Notamacropus eugenii: one gene and its partners. The protein of the gene in region 3 interacts with the protein of the main gene of each other region in a pairwise test. Links are inferred from orthologs where the notes say so. Each region holds a gene or a part of one and is shown on either strand. Other genes may lie near its edges.

Region 1 (5,876 bases), on a different chromosome or scaffold from region 3:
CAACTGTGTTAATGTATCTAATAATTAAAATTAGGTTCATAGGATCCTAGCTTTAGGGGTCATCTTGTTCAACACTACCCTCCCCCAATTCGGGTCATACCTTACACTCTGCTAATGAACTTATGAGTTCATGAATTAAGTGGAAACAGAATTCTAGTTGATAAGAGAGAGAAGGAATATTTAAGAAAAAAATCTGATAAACATACCATCTAAAATTTCAACTAAGGCACTGAGAAAAATGTTGAACATAACAGGATCAAGGAGAGAATCCTGGAGCATTAAACTTAAGACCCTTCTCTATAAACAGCCACTGACTAATTAGGCAATTATGACTAGCAAAGTCCCATCTTTCACATGTTTCTGAATCTTCCTAACTGGACTACCTTGTCCAAATACGTGTTATCTCTCTCGACCAAAAAATAAAGCATGGTAAATGCTTTGCTAAAATCCAGATACACTGAAACTATAGCATTTCTCTGGTTTACCAGTATAATAAACTTATTAAAAGAAAAAAAAAGAGAGGAGGAATGGTGTCAAGTCACTGTGACTTTTCAGAAAGACGAAACCCACTCGTACCTGTAATTTCATAACATCTCCACAAGCTGGAGCCCCCACCAATCCAGTGCCAACGTTTTTGGATTTCTTGTCAAGGGATCCTACATTTCTGGGATTCTCATAATGGTCAACCACCTGAAATGAGAAAATTGTAAAATAATAAATTTTCTAGCTCTAACGAAGAATTTCCTTCCCATACGGGAGGAGAGGGATCCAAGGCCTCTGTGAAATGCGGCTGCTTGTTAACTTGGGACCATAACATGAAGCCAACTCTCCATGAGAGATTACCTCCCCCCCTCAAACTGAGCAGCCACTTTTTAGTCTCTGGTTTCATCAAGACTGATGGGCTTCAGTCCCTCCGCTGGCTACTGCCTTACTTGGGGCACAAAGACCCATGTGATTCTCAGTATCTTCTGATGCCCCCACAACCCAAAGGCAGCACCACCACTTTTATCTGATTCGCTGGTCACCAGAGGGATGGGGATTGGAAATTCAACTTCACTGGTCTAGGGAACTCCCTCTACCAATGTGGGTTGGCACCTTATTTGCCACTCTTAGAGATCTGCCTAAAGCAGTGGAGTCTAACTCAAACAGGAATGGTCCGTGGCCACAAAATGCCTTCATTGTAAAGTGGGATATTATCTGATTGTATTTCTATGGGGTGCTGTGGGTCCTCTGACACCCTGGCCCAAGGCCTACCCCTAGGGCTGTCCATCTCTCATGGGTGCCCTGTATGCAGGGCTTGGGGCAATGGTACAGAATGTCTGGCACTAGAAGCCACAGAAGCTGGTGAGCGCGCTGAACAGATCCCCCCGGTGAAGAATGAAGGAAATAAAGGCATGCGAATCACAGGGATCAGGAGGTGCTGATGACATCATGGGTCCCCTGACGTACAAAGAGCAATTATCATCTCAGGTGATTCTGATCAGAAGCAGAAGTTGGCCAAAGTCTTCCCCAATGCACCTGGGAGGTGAGGGCACATGCAGGGACTCCCAGAAGGGTCCCCCCACCCTTACCTGCACGGGTCCCAAGAGAGGCCCACGAGGTGCAACCACAGAATCCTAACCCCCTAAACAAGTACACAGCCCCCTAGCTGGGCCCTGTGCCTGCTGTCTGCTGAAGCCTGGCCCCCAGGTAACTGCGGCACAGCGGGGCCTGGCAGGTGGGCCTGGCCAGGATGCTCTGGGAACCTCCAGGTCAGGAGGCACATGGGGAAAAAATCATTTCCTCCTCAGTTGTCTGTCACAACCCCATCTTCTGGCCAGGTGAATCTTCATGTCCCCAAGACACCTCAGAACAACTTCTGGCTGCTCCCCGAGGGCAAACCCGCTACCTTGAGAACACAGAGCTTTGTTACGGAGCTGTCTGGTCCTGGTGGTTCTTTCCAAAGAGAAGACCCCAGCAAGGAGGTGCATTGTAAGACTAAAGGTGGAATTTGCTTTAATATCTCTGGCCTACCCTGCACAGGTTACTTACAATGTCAGACTCCCTACCATTTTCTGTGTCACAGCCCAGAGCAAGAGGGACTTACTTCCTTATCGCAGACTCTGGCTGCTGAGCCAGCTCCAGGGCAACAAAAACCATCTTAGGGGTAGGGGAATGAATCCCCAGATTCAGGAAAAACAGGAAAACCCAGTCACAGATGCCCTGCTTCTTCTGAGGCAGGCTTGAGGTTGCTTTACCATCTGCCAGCAAAGACTCCAACGAGCCTGCTAAGCAGACTTCCAGGCCTTGTTTGGAATAGGTCATGACATATATCATGTGGCTGAGGAGTGGACTCGGTCACAATATCTCCAACACATCTGGGGACTGGACATCAGTGGATCAGATGTTCTTGTGAGGGTCAAAGCAGATGAGAGCAGTCAAAAGCTTCGCCAGCTTGAACATGCTGTATCAATGCTCCGTATCACTCACGGGAACCTGAGAGCTAGAAGGGGCCTTAGGGCTCATCTGAGCCCACCCTAATATCTGACACTATGGTTTCACAGGCACACCGTTTGTTTTCTTAAGAAAAAAACAAAATGACCTTAAGGCAGGGCCCAAAGAGGAACAGCACCCTCCATGCAAAAGTTGCTGGGCCTTCCTGACAATCTCCTGTAAAGGAGGATGTGATTTCACTGAGGAAGTGATTGGCTTGCCCTGCCTGCCCAGGGGCTGATCAGTGAGTACTGGGGGGGGGGGGTTGTGACCTGTCCCTGTTTTCCTGGCTTCTCACCTGGAGGTTTCCCCAGCCCCCCAGCACCAACATACCAGAGACTGGTGGGCCTGAAATGGAAGGACGAAGTGGGAAGTGAGGAGATCCAAGCTGACAGCAAGTCCCCTTCCCAATCTGAGTCCCGGCTTCCTGACAGTCTGACTTCCCTGGAGGCTACAGATTGATTCAGCAGGACTCATCACCAGCTGCAGCAGAGCTTTCTGCTTTAAGGCCAAACTGGCCTGTTGGGAGGCAGTGCTGGCTCATCTAGACCAGGAGGGTACTTAGGGATGATCTGCTCAGAATCCTTCCTGCTGATACAGTGGAAAGGAGCCCTGGATTCAGAATGGAGAAGCCTGGGTCAAATCCTGCCTCTGAGCCTGGAGACTGTGACTGCTGGGTCTTGGGCCTCCATCGACTTCCACCCCAAGCCAATTCCTGTTTCTAGATACCAGGTTTCTCATCTGTAAAATGGGGATAATAATCCTGGTACTGCTGACCTCATAGCAAAGTACTTTATAAAGCAGAACTGTAATAATTCCTTTAGGCAGCTCCTTTTCATGGCCCAGGGTGACCCTGGGCCCTTGTTGGTTATGCCAGCAGGTCCTGCATAGTGGAAAGGCTTGGAGAAGGAGCCTATTGTCTAAAGGTCAACCTAACTAAGTGCAAGTCAACATTAAGAGCCAACTGTGCACCATGTTCTGGGCACAGAAACTCACCACTAGCTTGGACAAAAGTTACCACGACCTTTACCTGTCAAAGACTGTTTATTAAAGCATGAAAGGACTGTCATCTGGCACTGGGAAAAGGAGAACTTGTGCTGTGATGAAACCACAAGGTATTTGAAGTATTTTCTGTTTAATGTGTATAACTCTAGACCCTCAAATGACACAGTAAAGCATTCTGATTTAACTGGAGGGAAGAGGTTAAGTCCAGCTCTGACATTTACTTCATGGAAGACCTTGTGTCCTCTCCGCCCCGTTTCCTCTTTTGTAAAATGAGGGGATGGGTAGATGTTCTCTGAGGTGCCCTCTAGTGTGGATATCAGCTATCCCAAGGGCAGGCAGCGGGTGTAATGGTGGATTCGGGGTCGGAAAGACCCCAAGTTCAAATTCCACTCCCGACGTTTACTGGGAGTGGGAGTGGGAGTGGGGCCCACTCATCAAGTGACTTTAGCTCTCCAGGTCTCTGTTTCCTCCAGGGTATCATGTGGGGGCTGATGGAGGTCAGCAGGTCTCCCTAAAGGTCTTACAATTCCTTCTTACGGGTTCTGTAACAGCACCAAGGTGCTCTAAAATACAACCACTTACGCCCCTTAGGTCAGGTTTTCTTCATATATTTTAACACTTTGCAACAGACTTGGACTCAACTGGACATTAAAGAGATGGGCAAGTACGTGTAAAACAAGGCCACTTTTCTGCCTAATTTCTTTTGTTTTGGGAAAGTTATTTTCTTTTGTAAAAAGTATGTTAGGATGACATGAGATTATAATTAAACGAATACTTTAAAAACTTAGGCGTTTTAATTTGTCACACGGTGCACAATAATATCACCCCTATTTTTTTAAAGCTCTTCGGGGCTCTCCGTGGCTCTGAGCATAAACTAGGCGCCCACGTTTCTGCCAGCTCCAAGAGGGGGCTTCTCTGAACCTCAGTTTCCTCCACCGTCAGAAAGGTGGGGGGAAGGACCCCGGCCTCCCCTGCCACAGCAGGGGGCCCGCTTTTTCTTCCCCGTTCTCAGGGGCGGGTCTTGGGGAAGGCTGCTGACCTCGGGCGGGCTTCCCGCCGACCTCCGGGCTTTCACGGAAGAGGGCACTGGCGGAGGGGCTTCCTCACCCGGGAGTTCCCCCCGGCCTCGGTCCCCACCCCAGTTTACCCGACATCAGGCCCAAAGCTGCCCCTCGCCCAGGGCCTGGCATACATAGGAGCTTATTAAATGCCCGTTTCCTCTACTTGACCCGGCGGCGTCCTAGGAGATGGCCCCTCCTAGGACTCGGCCTGCTCGGCGGACACGCGGACGACGCGCACGCGCACGCAGGGGGAGGGGCGCACGCGCAGGCGCAGTGGCCGCTTCTTTCTAACGGCGTCACCCAGGGTCTCCAACGTCCCCGCCTCCCCGGCCCAGGCGCTCCGCGGCCCTACCTTCTTGTGGTACAGCCGGGCCGGAGCCGAGAGCTCCCGGAGGGGAGGCCGCCGAGTGCCCAGGCACATCACCGAGGCCGCCCGCCTCAACCCTGCCAGGCCGGCCTTCGCCGCTGCCGCTGCCATGTTGTGTCGGAAGGCTGAACCACTGAGGAGGCGGGGCCGCGGCCGACGATCTGGGGGGCGGAGCTCAGACCGAGGGGGCGAGACCGAGGGGGCGGGGCCCAGGCCGGGAGGGTGGGGCTGAAGGAGAGGGGGTGGGGAGATGGAGGGGGCAGGACCCAGGACGGTAGGTCTCCGGAGAGAGGGAGGGGCGGTGCTGAGATGGAGGGGGCGGGGCCTATCTGGGGCGGAGCGAGGCCGAGGGAAAGGGGAGGGAGCGCGGGGCGGAGAGGAGGAGGAGGAGGGGGGGGGGGAGGAGGAAGGGAGGGCGGGGCTTCAGCGAGGGGGCAGAGTCGGGGAGGGGAAATGGAAGGGGAGGGGCGGGGAAATTGGGAGGTGAGCACTTGTGGCCCCGCCCCGCCCAGCGCTCCTCACGTGACTGCGCCCTCGCTGGCGCCCAGCCGGGTTTTGTCCTCCTGGCCACGCCCCTTTATCTCCCAGCAACGCCCGCGGGGAAAGTCCTGGGGGGGCGGGGCGGGGCGGGGCAAGGGTGCTTGAGTTGCCAGGGAGGAGAGAAGCGTGCTGATCTGGGCGATGACCCATTCTGCGGATGGGGAAACTGACGCTTGGTAGCTGGTCACGTGACCATAGGAGTCATTAAGAGCCTTTCATTATGTGCTGTATCTTTAATGTATGCAGTAACCATCATCCTTAGCGCTGAAAGCACTCACAAAGTAGGGGCTGGTCTGGTGCCTTTGACAGTGGAATCCCGCCCCAGACACCTGGTGTGTGACCTAGGCAGGTCACCCACCTCCGCCCTTTCTTCATCTGTGAAATGGAGATAATATGCACCTGCTTCAGGGGTGGGGGCAGTTGTGAGAATC
Region 2 (5,876 bases), on a different chromosome or scaffold from region 3:
TGGCAAAAAGGCAGTCTCTGACCTCACAGGACTCACAGTCTAATTAGAAGACAATATGCAAACGACTTTGTATAAACAAATGATATACAAGATAACTCAACAGAGAAAGGTACTGCTGCATTAGAGCTGAGAAAGGTTTCCCATGAGACTTGAAGGTTGAGAAGCCAGAAGACAGAGATGAGAAAGAACAGAATTCTGGCCAAGGGAGAGAACCTGTGAGTGGGAACATGGCACGTCATGCTTGAAGAACAGCTGGCAAGCCAGTGTCACAGGACTGTGAAGTAGAAAACAATATAGTGTATTTAGATTGTAAACGTAGGAAGAGACCAAATTATGAAAGGCTTTAAAAGCCAACAGAGGATTTTATCATTTATCTTGGAGGTAAAAGGGAACTACTTTGAGTTTATTAAACAGAAGGATGACAAGGTCAGACCTATGCTTTAGGAGAATCACAACTGAGTAGAAGACAGATTTTGAGTGGATAGAAATTTGTGGTAGAGAAACCACATAGAAGGCTATTGCAATCATCCAGATGTAAGGTACTGAAGGTCTGCACCAAAGTGGTCACAGTGTCAGAGGGGAGCAAGGGGCATATACAAGAGATGTTACAATGATAAAATTGACAGGACCCTTTTTACTGACCTTCCTCTCTCCATAACACATACCTCCCTTATTTTTTTTCCATTAAATTGTCCCTTTCTTCCAGCTCTTAGTCCCAAATTTTCCTCACAAACCCACTCATCCTTCCCTTGAAATCTTAGTCTTATCCTATCCTCCATTCCAGCCCTCTATTTCTCCATCTCCGCAATCTCACCTGTGCCTCCCCCAGACCCAGCTCAATGTTTTCCATGGATCGGCGAAGCTGCCGGGCCTTCTCATGTACCAGTCCAGCTTCATGGCCTTCATGCTGCAGGCACTGAATAGCATGAGCCAGGCTCTGTAATACTGCCTGGTGTTCGCTTCTCAGTGCTTCCAAGCCCTGGCTCACCAGACGAGTGCTCCCCAGGATCTCCTCCTGGCTCAACCGGGACACTGATGGTTCTTCCCGCTGTCCCAGCACCAGCCCCGACATCCTGGGTCAGGGGATTCCAACCTGAGCTGGGGAGAAATCATAAGACAGAGAGAGACAGAGGAGGAGAGAGAGCTGTAACAATTTTGGTTTGTGGAAAAACATATCACTATGAGAGTAAGAACATAGAAAGAACTGAGTATACTACAGAAAGCAAAACTCAGTGGGTGGAGAATAAAACTGGAGATGAGTAAAGTTCAGCAGAAAAGACAGGGTAGGAGGAGCAATGGACCTCAGAGGTGAGGAAAGTGTTGGACAGGAGAAACATAGAAACATTATAGAAAGTGGAAAGGAAGAGGCTGGTGTATAAAGGGGAGGGATAATGGGTTTCGGAGGAAAAACCAGGACTTGACATTGGGAGAGAGAGAGATGGTAAAGGAGGTCAGTGAAAGGAATAACACAGAAGAAGAAAGAAAGGCAGATGATAACTAAGCTCTAAAGAAGGAGAAAGAGAAGTAACAGTTCTCACAGTATAAAAGAGACTGACGAGGCCTCAGCTCCAAGGGTTGGACACGGTTGTCTCCATGCAGGTTTAATCCTTTATTTCTCTTAGCTACTCAAGGCGCCTTGAGCCCAACTTCACTCAGCCCTAGTTATCCCTACTTCTCCTCCTCCAATTCTTATTTTCAACTCTCTTCTTCCTCCTCATGAACCAGTCATTGCCCCAAGTCCTATTACCCCAACCAAGGGCAAAGCCTTGGACTGCAGGGCTGAGGCAGGAGCCAAGAGCCAGAAAGCTAGGAGCCAGAAAGAACCTCGCTCAGCTCAGCAGACTGGGAGACGCCCTATACAAAGTCCAAGAGTCCAGTACCACCCCAACCCCCCTCCCCCACTACTATTCTAAGCACCTGTCACAGAGCCCCACCTAGAATAAAAGACGTTTCCTTTGCTTCGTGCCCAGGCCCCAAGCCCTCCAAAAGATCCTTCTCTCCTATTTCCCCCAAGAAACACTACGTCAGCCCTGGGCTCAGATCCCCTAAAGGGAAATAAGCATGAATAAGGAGAAAGCTTGCTTGGAAACCTAAGAAAGAGCAAAGTTCTGTTTGCCCCGGTTTATTAGTCAAGAAGGATCCTTGTGCCTAGAGGGAGGTGTGAGTACAAGGGTCTGTTCAGGTGGAAACCGAAGAGGATACTCTCATTCTGCTTTGTTCTTCCCACCTCTACCCCCAGGCAACTAAAGTAAGGGGTAACTCCCCAGTACTGGAGAGCAACATTTACTAACTTGCAAACTCGTCTTATTTTCCTAAGACAAACTAGGAAAGCAGAATGTCTGCCTAAGAGTAAGAGCATTATGGTCTGAATCTTCGGGGTTCACTAGTAGCTATGGCTTCCTGAATGGGCTGGGGAGAGAAGAGAAGACACATAACCCCCTACCTATCTAGGTATAGTGGGTGGGTTTGTCAATCCCGGGAGCTATAATAGTTATAGTACTTATATAAGCTATAATAATATCATATGTGACATATACTAATGTAATATAAAATAGGTACATATGTTACCTTCTCTCTAGCCTGACAGAATGTGTGTGTGTGTCTCAGGGTAGAGATAGGGGAATCTATTTGTCTCTTGCCCAAGGAGTCAGTAGTGGACCTGAGGAAACAAAGTAATAAGTATGTATCTATCTGTTCAAGAGGAAGAGAGGACCAAGTTTGTTTGTCTTGGCGGGAGGGAAGGGTATCTGTCTGGAGATGAGTGCCTGCCCCATGAGAGTGGGTAAAAGTCTGGGAGAGAGAAGGATTAGGAGAGAAACTGTCCTACTAGGGAATGATTATATGTGTATGTCGGTCTGCCTCTTCATCCTAGGAAGGAATGAAGATGTTTTTATGTATGTCTGCCCTAGAAGGGAGTGGGGATGTGTATGTATCTACTTGTCCTAGCTGGGGACGAAGGTATGCATCTGTCTGTCTGTCCTAGAAGGAAATGAGGGCACGTATGTATCTATCAAAGAGGAACTAAGGATGGATGGATGTTTACGTCCATATGTGTACCTATACAATCCAAGGAGAAGTAAGAGTATGTGTCTGTGTGTCCTAAGAAACAGTGAGGGTGTCTGCCCAAGGAAGAAGTGAGGGGGGGGGGGGTGTGTGTGACGGTCTGTCCAAGGAGGGGGTGAGAAGGTGTACGTGTGTCTGCCTGTCTGTCCAAAGAGGAGGTGGAAGTGTGTCTGACCATGAAGGGGTGAGGCGTCCGTCTATCTCAGGAGGGAGTGAGGATGTGGATGTGTCCGTCGGTCTGTCCAAGAAGGAAGTGAGTGTGCTTAGGTGTCCGTCCTCGAGAGAGAAGGAGGGGAGGGTGTGTCCGTTTGTCTGTTCCGGAGGTGTCTCTCTCAGTCTGCGGGTGCCAGGGTGGGATCTGGGTCCCCAGCCTCTCTGACTGGGGGGAGAGGAAGGGAGAAGAGGGAATTCTGCCAGAGACTCACCCTTGGTATGTCCGTCTGTCCAGCGGTCCGCCCGATTCCCCCGCAGGTACTGCCCCCTTAAATCCAACATGGCCGTCGCTCAAGGCAATTGTTTTGACGGCTCCTGGGGGCGGAGTCTACCTCGGGTCACGCGGGTAAGAAACCTCTCCGGGACTGGTTGTGGGCAGCGACGCCCCAGGGGGCCGACTTCGGCGTACCTGGACCCACCCCTCCAGCCCTCCCGGCGTCCTCGGACCCGGGGCGTTGCGTCATCAGAAGGCGCCGGGGTGAAGCGGGCAGACGGCGTGGAGAGCTGATCCCCGCGATGGCGCTGCGGGCGCTGTGCCGAGCCTTGGGCTCGCTCCGCCTGGCCGCCGGCCCGCACGCTGCCGCCCAGGTAACCGGCCTGCGGGGGTTTCCGAGCTTGGGCCCCGCGGCGCGGGCCTGCGGGAGCAGGGGGCGGCGCGAGGGGCGTGAGGCCCGCTGGGCGCATTCCAGAGGCCGTCCCGGGGCTGGGAGTCAGGAGCCCTGGGTTCGGTCTCTGTCCCCCGGCCCCGGCCCCAACCACCCTGGTGACCTTGGCCAGCTCCCTCATTTCTCCGTATCTCCAGAATGAGGCTAATAATCGCAGGCCTATTTTGAGAGTCGGAGCTGTTAGCCCAGGGTGTCAGAGCCAGGAGGAACTGCCGCCTTTTGTAGAGGGCACCGGGGCACTGAGGCACCGAGGCAGATCGGTTAGAGTTGGGAGGGCCTGAGTGCTAATCTTACCGGAGACATTTACTAGCTGTGGGAGACTGAGCATGTCACTTACCCTCTTTCCAGACTCGGTTTTCTCATTTGTAACATGAAGATAATAATACATGAAAGTGCTTTGCCAGTTTTATAAAGTGACGTGTTGAAAACCTAGATCCCAAACAATGATTTACTGCTATTCTCGGCTTAACTAGAAAGTTATTTGCAAATAGAAAAGATTATCATCATCGTCATCTTTAGTATAAGTATCTAGTTTCTGCTACAGTATCCAGTCGTGTATCCTGAGTTGCGGACCTGGGTGTGTGTTACATCCTGGTATGATTTAACAGTGGCAGGATGATTTAGTACAAAGAATCAGAGTGCCTGGGTTTAAATCCAAGCGCACTTTTTCACCTGTACAATGAAGGAAATTGGACTAAATAAGCAAAGTCCCAGTTAGCTTTTCATCTATGATGCATCTGGATCTGATGGGGGAGGTTATAGGTACATCTATAAAATATACTTAAAGATCTGTGATGTCATATCATAGGATGTGTACATCCTCAACTGAAACAAAATGTCCCCTCTGCACACCTCAGTATGTGATAATAATTTGCTGTGGCCCACAACCTTATCACAAGATAGCTGGCTTTTTTTCTGAGCTAACTAGACCAGTCCTTAGACAGCAAACACACATTCCATTGCAGTCACTGACCTGCAATGTGAAGCTTTTACAACTTGGGAGATGGGGCAGCTAGGTGGTGCAGTGGATAGAGTGCAGACTTGGAGTCAGGAAGACTTATCTTTGTGAATTCAAATCTGGCCTCAGACACTTATTGTGCCTGTGACCCAAAGTCACTTAACCCTGTTTGCCTCAGTTCCTCATCTGTAAAAAAATGAACTGGAGAAGGAAATGGCAAACCACTACAGTATCTTTCCCAAGAAAACTTCAAATGGGGTCACAAAGAGTCAGACATGAAACCACTGAACAACGGCAACAAACACTGTATACAGTGTGGATAAAAGTCATTATCAAAAGCAGTAACTAATTCAGAAGAACAAAGTACTCATTTTATTGCTGGGTGGGATAATGGAGCATAGGAATGATCTGGTCAGGGTGGATTCGAATAGGGAAGGTTCTCGAGATTTCTGGGAGGAGAGTAAGTCATGAGTCAAGTCTAGAAGGAAGCGATGGTTCTGGTAGGAAGCAAAGGGGAGAGAATGCTCGGTAGATAATTTTTTTTTTCCTTTTTTTGTGGGGGAAGTGTGTAATCAGGGTTAAGTGACTTGCCTAGCTTCACACAGCTAGTAAATATGGAGTGTCTGAGGATGAATTTGAACTCGGGTCCTCCAGACTCCAGAGCTGGTGCTCTATCCACTGTGCCACCTAGCTGCCTCTTAAAGAAATTTCTGATAAGTAGAAAGGGGTAAATTGTGTGTAGGGAGGCAGTCAAATGTGTCTCTCTATATAGAGTATGTTTATAGTATAAAGGATAGTATTCTTGGATCATACTAGAAATTAAAGTAAAAAACTGGCTTGGAAAGCTTCCTAGTAGTGATATGCTATGAAGCTGAAAGGAACCCCCTTCCAAATGCCCTTCCCTGTAGTTACTCCTTAAGTACGTAGAGTTTCTCTCTTTGTTGCCAGGTGATGAGCAGTGTCTTCCTCCAGTCTTC
Region 3 (5,876 bases):
CCCTCATGAAGTCACAGGTGGAACATGGGAACCTACAGTAGGTCAGCAAGGAGGGGATATGCCTGACCCATCCTGGGCTTTGTTGATCCCATCTTAGAGAGAGAGGGGCAATGTTCTAGGTTCAGAGACTCTAGAGTAGGGGTCTTTAACTGTATTTTTTTTTTGGTATCTTGGACCCTCTTTACCCATCTGGGAAGCCTATGGACCCCCTTTCAGAATCATGTTTTCAAATGCATAAAATAAAATGTGTAGGATTACAAAGGAAGCCAGTTATATTGAAATATAGTTATCAAAATATTTTAAAAATAAGTTCACAGACCATTGGTTAAGGACCCCTGAACTAGGCTCTCTTCCCCTCTTCCTATGCTGAGCTTTGCCAAGGAGTACTCACCATTCTTGTCAGCCCGGCGGAAAATCTGCAAAGAGAGGAGAGAGAGTCTAGGTTAATTTTGAGGAAGAAGGAAAATACTCCCATTTCCCTGCTCTCAGGGCCTGTTCCCCAGCCCCTTTTACCCATCTGAATGGTCAAGGAAATAAGTTGGATTGAAGTAATCTCAGAAACTTATATATTAATATACACATGGAGTCACACTCACCTATGGATGTGGCCACAGCCATTCATACATACATGCAGAGTCACAGTCACAATCACAGATACACAATTAACATATAGTCACACACACATATATCCCCTTATATAAATAAGGTCAGCCCCAGACAAAACTGTGAAGTGGTCAATCTTCTCAGCTCCTCTCCTATTCTTCCTCAAACCAATTTTCTCTATTTTAATTAAAAAGAGAATCCTGGAAGAAATCCCAAGGAATAAGTATCAAAGGTGGATTTTCAGACACCCACCTGTGGAAGGTAGGTAGGGGAATTATTTTAGTTGTGGTATCCCCTTTGACTCAAACTACAGAAAGGATTTTCTATTGTGCCTATGCATGAGGGCATCCCTGTGCTCTGCCTTATCTGTACGGCCTGTGTTCCACGCTTGGAGACACACACACACACACACACACACACACACACACACACACACACACATACACACAAACGGATCATAGAATTTTGAGCTAGAAGGAATTTATAGAGTTATATAAGCACACACAGCCACACACACCCTCACATTCAAGTGTCCAAAGGATGGATTCTCCTCTGGGTACCAGAGGACATGAGGCAGAAATTTCAGGAGCCCCCAGTTCTCCCAGGGACCAGGTCAGACTTTGGGGAGGCCATTTCAACAAGATGTAAGCCAGCAAGTTGGGGGAGGGGGTCTCTAGTTTACACAAAGTGTTTTAAGGTTTGCAAAGCATTTTTCAGACATTGTTTCACCTGATCCTCACAACCATCCCATGAGGTAGGTGCTAGTATTATTATCATCCCCATTTTGCAGAGGAAGAAACTGAGGCAGATAGAGCAGAAGTGACATAGATAATAAGCACCTGGGTTAGGATTTGAACTCGTCTTCCTGACTGCAGATCTGGTGCTCTATCACCTAGCAGCAATTAAGCTGCCCTTAGTAGTGGGGCATCCTGAGAAGATTGTTTTGGGGGTAAGAGTCAGTGAGTCAGTCCACTATCCTTTATTAAGCCCCTACTATGTGCTGTTAGAAGGAGGGTCAGAGCTATTTTTTTCTTTTTCTCCCTCTCTAAAACCTGGGTTGAATAAAGCCTTCCCTGACCCAGTTGAGCAAATAGTTTCTCTGGTTCCAAGTACTAAACATCAGAATGACCCAATTCTAATTATTCCTCTTCTGGCACTTGGTGATAAGTGGGGCTGAGGGTAGAATAACTAGGGTCCCAAATTTCTGTGCATTGGGGATCACTTTGATTTCGATGTCAGATATTTAGAAGCAGTGAAGGTGCTGGCATACACCAAGCAGTCTTTTGAGAATAGGCAAAAGACTGGAGACTCAGATACATAGGACCTACTATCTCTGTGACTGGGTGAGCTGCCAGTGGGGTCCTCCCATAGGACCTGGGAGAGTCTAGAAGAGAAACAAAGGCCACACAATGATGAACCAGGGTTCAAAGGGTGGGGGGAAGGGCTGGCGGAATGATACAATAGAAAGACCCTGCATTCTAATCCCAGCTCTAATACTTGTGTGATATTGGCAAATAATTTCCCTGCTGAGAACCTCAGTTTCCTCATCAGAGATATTAATACTTGCTCTAACTGACAGAGTTGTGGGAAAACACTCTCTAAATGTTAAAGAAATGTGAGTTATTACTACTACTACCACCACCACCACCACCTAGATCTTCAAGTGACAAATTGTCTAAGAGCAACATAGTGGGATCTGTGTATTTTCCTCCCATGATTTTCTGCCTGGATGGTTTTTGCCCTTAGATTCCTCATTCCTTGAGTAGTCTCTTGTTACCAGATTGAAAATCATTTGCTATCCGTCGATATCTGATTTCTGAGGAGGGGGTTAGGGTAAGAGATAAAGGATAAGAGCCCGTCCCCTTTCTAATATGTAAGGAAACAGAAGCGTAGTCTGATTCAAGTAGAATCTTAGAGACTAGAATCCCATAAGTCATCCAATCCAAACTCTTTTTATAAATGCAGGGTCTTGCAGGGTCCGGTCAACTAGGGGATACTCAGAACTTCTCCTCCATGACTCTGAAAGGAAATTCGGAAGTGACCCTTAAAAGGTGAGGAAGTTCTGAGTTCGATCTTTCTCATAGAAACATCTCATCCCTTCCTCCTCCCCAAACAGATGCACACTTTCTGTACACATACATCCACCACTGCTGGGAAGAAAGAGCGTGAGTCTGAGCCCCATTTAGTTGGGAAGGAAAGGGGACCCCAGAAATCTACCCCCTCGACCCCGCCCCGTAACCATCAAGTCTACACTGAATGAACCAAACCACCTGGACTCAGCATTCCCCAATCACCCCCTTAAACGCGACCCCATCTAAACAGATCCCCAAAGCTGGGGCTGTAGAGGGGAGGTGTTCAAGGTGCGGAACCAGGTCCTAGGAGAAGAAGGGAGACTGGGGGTGGGGGGTCAGAGAGTCCTACTAGGAGGAGGAACTCTGGAGAGGGACTGGGCTAGGGAGAGTATTGAGGAAAGCGGCAGGATTTAGGGAAGGGACTGTCCCAGTGAGGATGTCTGGGTGCAGGGAAGGGCTGCAGATTCAGAGAAGTCTAGGACTGGGGAAACGCTCGGGGCTCTGTCTTGGGAGAGGAGGAGAGGGTGGTGGTGGGATGGGGGTGGAGAGGCAGGAAAATGGGATGGGGTGGGAAATGAGGATCCCTCGGGATGCGAAAGGGAGCAGGATCTGATTTACGGAGAAAAGGGAGGGGAGAGAGTCCCTGGGAGAAGGAGAAGCTTTCATGGGGATCCCTAAGGATGGGAGACCGGGAAGCAGGGGGCTAGGGATGGCTGAGAAGGGGGAACTAAGATCGTGCGGAGATCAGAGATGCTGAGACCGTAGGGGAGACAGTGTAGGGATGGGGAGAGGTGGAGGAGAGGAAGAAAGCTTTGGGGAGGGGGTGCGAGGAGGAGGGGGCAGAAGTCCGGGCCGGGGAGGGGCTCCGGACAGGGTCCGGTGCTACTCACGTCCAGGATGACCGAGGTGCCCCTCCGGGGCGGGGACGGGGCCGTCGGCGGGGTGGGACAGAGCCCGTGGCCAGTCCCGGCCCCCGGCCCGTCGGCCAGCGGCTCCCGGGGTTCGCCCATCCTGGCTCCCACCCAGCGGAGCAGCCCCCCCAGCGCCCGGCCCTGCGGCGGCGGCTCCCGGAGCAGTCTGTGCGCGCCGGCCCTGCAGAGGCGCGCCGCCCGCTCACACATCGCTCGCGCAGCGCCCGCCTCCCGCCTCCCGCCTCCCTCCCGCCGGAGCCGCCGCCACCACCGCCGGCCCGACCCCCGCCCCCGGCTCCAGCGCCCGCTCGCCCACGCGTGGCCACCTCTCCCAGCCCGCTCCGGGCGGCGCCGGCGCTGCAGACCCCGCCCCCCCGGACACCGCGTGGGATGCGGGACTCGGGACGCGGGACCCAGGCTGGGGGGCGGACAGGACCACATCGCCCGGCAGGGGGGCGCTGGAGCCGGGCCTGAGCCTCCATCCCCGTCCATCTTGGGACCCCAACTCCCCAGGACCCCTAACGTCCTCCCTCCCTTCCTCTTATTTCTGGGGATGATGAGGGTGCGGTAGGGATAGGGGCTGCTTCCAGAGGGGATAACTGGGGGACGTATTAGGGCATCTGGAATCCGTGAAGTCGCCGGTCCGGGCTGAGCCTGAACTGAGAGAGGAAGGGTGGGCTGCGCTGGCCAGGGCCTCTGGGACTCAGCATCTAGGAAGGGATGGAGTCCAGCCTAGGAGAGCCCCTGAGGCCTCCAGCACATCGATTCTTCCCAGCATCTTTCGCTGTCTCTGGTCCTTCGGCTTGCAGGGACAGGCGAGTAAAGAAGAGTTTCCCTAAGTCAGGCACTCCCTCTGCCGGCAAAAGCCACAGAACTCTCTTTCACAGGACTCTTGGGGCTCCTGGAGCATCCTTCCCTCACACCCTTCCCAGGGACCTGAGCATTGCCTCTAACATCCCGTCACATCCAGTTCCCCCAGACTTTGATTCCCTCTCTCTCTCTCTCATTCAATAAAATTTAAGTCAACAAACATCTGCTTTTTACGAAAAGAAAAAAAAAAGTCTGTCCTCAAGGAGCTTATATTCTGAGGAAATACAGCATGGATAAATAAAGGTTAATACAAGATGCATACAAACTAATTTCAAGAGTGAGAATGCTAATAAGGGGGAAACAGATATGATTTCATGTAGCAGGCGACACCTGAAAGGGGCACTGGTGAAGGAGGACAGTATTCTAGACTTGAGACAGCACTTGGGGAAAGGGATGGAGGTAGGAGAGGGTTGTATGTGGGGAACAGCTAGTTTGATTGGGCCTAGGATTGTGAGAGTAAAATGGAAGACAGACTGGAAATGGTTGAGAGCCATGTTGTCATGGGTCTCAAATTCTAGGTTGGGAGCCACTGAGGATTTTTGAGGAGGCAGATGACAGGGTCAGATTTGTGTTTTAGGAATATCGTCATCCATGGGATAGCTTCGGGGACGAGGGATTGGAAAGGGGAGAGGTTGTTTTCCCTTGTTTTCGAAGAGGATCGTGACATTAGGAAGATAAAGCCATGACATGTAACTGAAGTGGATTTAAATGAGGCAGGGCTGTGCAAGGTCACTAGCCTCATGTTCTCCTCTAGAGCCATCTGGATCCAGTGGCAAGATATAGATCAGGACAACTAGAGATGGCCCCACCAAGAAGGGAGAGACTAGAAGCAAGAGGGCCAAACAGAAGGATGTTGCAGGTGGTAAGGTCTTGAGCTGGGGTTGAAGCTGAGTGAATAGAGGGTCCAAGATGTTCTGGAGGTAAACTGACATAATCTGGCAAATGATAGGGGAGAGGGGGAGGGACAGGGAAGAGTCACGGAATGTTATGAGCCTACCCCTTCTCTCCCTCCCCCCACATCTTGTCAGTTTCCCACTTGCCCATTCACAGGCTCCATCCTTAGGACTCCAGCCTTTTACTCAGACATGGTCAGAGATTTGGACAACACAGCCTCAACTTGAGGTGGTTGGATCGCCACACAAGGACAAGCTGGAACATCACAAAGACAAACTCTTCAAGAACATATTTTGGCAGCCTTTTGGTTTATTCAAGATGTAATTCTGGGGAAGAGCTGAGGCCCCTAACTTCCTAGGGCTGAGTTCTACCATCAGTGTTGCTCATTGGCCCAGGTTTTGGGGCCTTGGGAGCCTGAAGTTCCAGAAGCCTGGAAATCTCCAGTTTGGGTTCAGGAAATTTTGAGCTGGTCAGCACTAAATAAACTTCTCAGACCCTGGTTCAGCCAGACCCACAAACTGTACTT

The links.
Region 1: the proteins of NECAB2 (region 3) and ISCU interact in binary tests that used the Homo sapiens proteins (3 or more experiments, as listed by UniProt). The two-hybrid records come from large-scale screens. The link is inferred for Notamacropus eugenii from reciprocal best matches to the Homo sapiens genes NECAB2 and ISCU.
Region 2: the proteins of NECAB2 (region 3) and KLC4 interact in binary tests that used the Homo sapiens proteins (3 or more experiments, as listed by UniProt). The two-hybrid records come from large-scale screens. The link is inferred for Notamacropus eugenii from reciprocal best matches to the Homo sapiens genes NECAB2 and KLC4.

The regions. Positions count from the first base shown.
Region 1 is NC_092875.1:23,477,486-23,483,361, forward strand, and holds the start of ISCU (iron-sulfur cluster assembly enzyme ISCU), read right to left. Parts: upstream 3,044-5,876; 5' UTR 2,950-3,043; coding exon 2,806-2,949; intron 691-2,805; coding exon 577-690; intron 1-576.
Region 2 is NC_092873.1:105,962,755-105,968,630, reverse strand, and holds the start of KLC4 (kinesin light chain 4), read right to left. Parts: upstream 3,598-5,876; 5' UTR 3,489-3,597; intron 2,660-3,488; exon of another isoform or gene 2,569-2,659; intron 1,616-2,568; exon of another isoform or gene 1,539-1,615; intron 1,099-1,538; exon of another isoform or gene 1,094-1,098; 5' UTR 1,073-1,093; coding exon 815-1,072; intron 1-814. Other genes in the region: MRPL2 (large ribosomal subunit protein uL2m), read left to right, coding at 3,793-3,864, 5,848-5,876.
Region 3 is NC_092872.1:697,732,646-697,738,521, reverse strand, and holds the start of NECAB2 (N-terminal EF-hand calcium-binding protein 2), read right to left. Parts: upstream 3,797-5,876; coding exon 3,566-3,796; intron 417-3,565; coding exon 392-416; intron 1-391. UniProt on the Homo sapiens protein: May act as a signaling scaffold protein that senses intracellular calcium.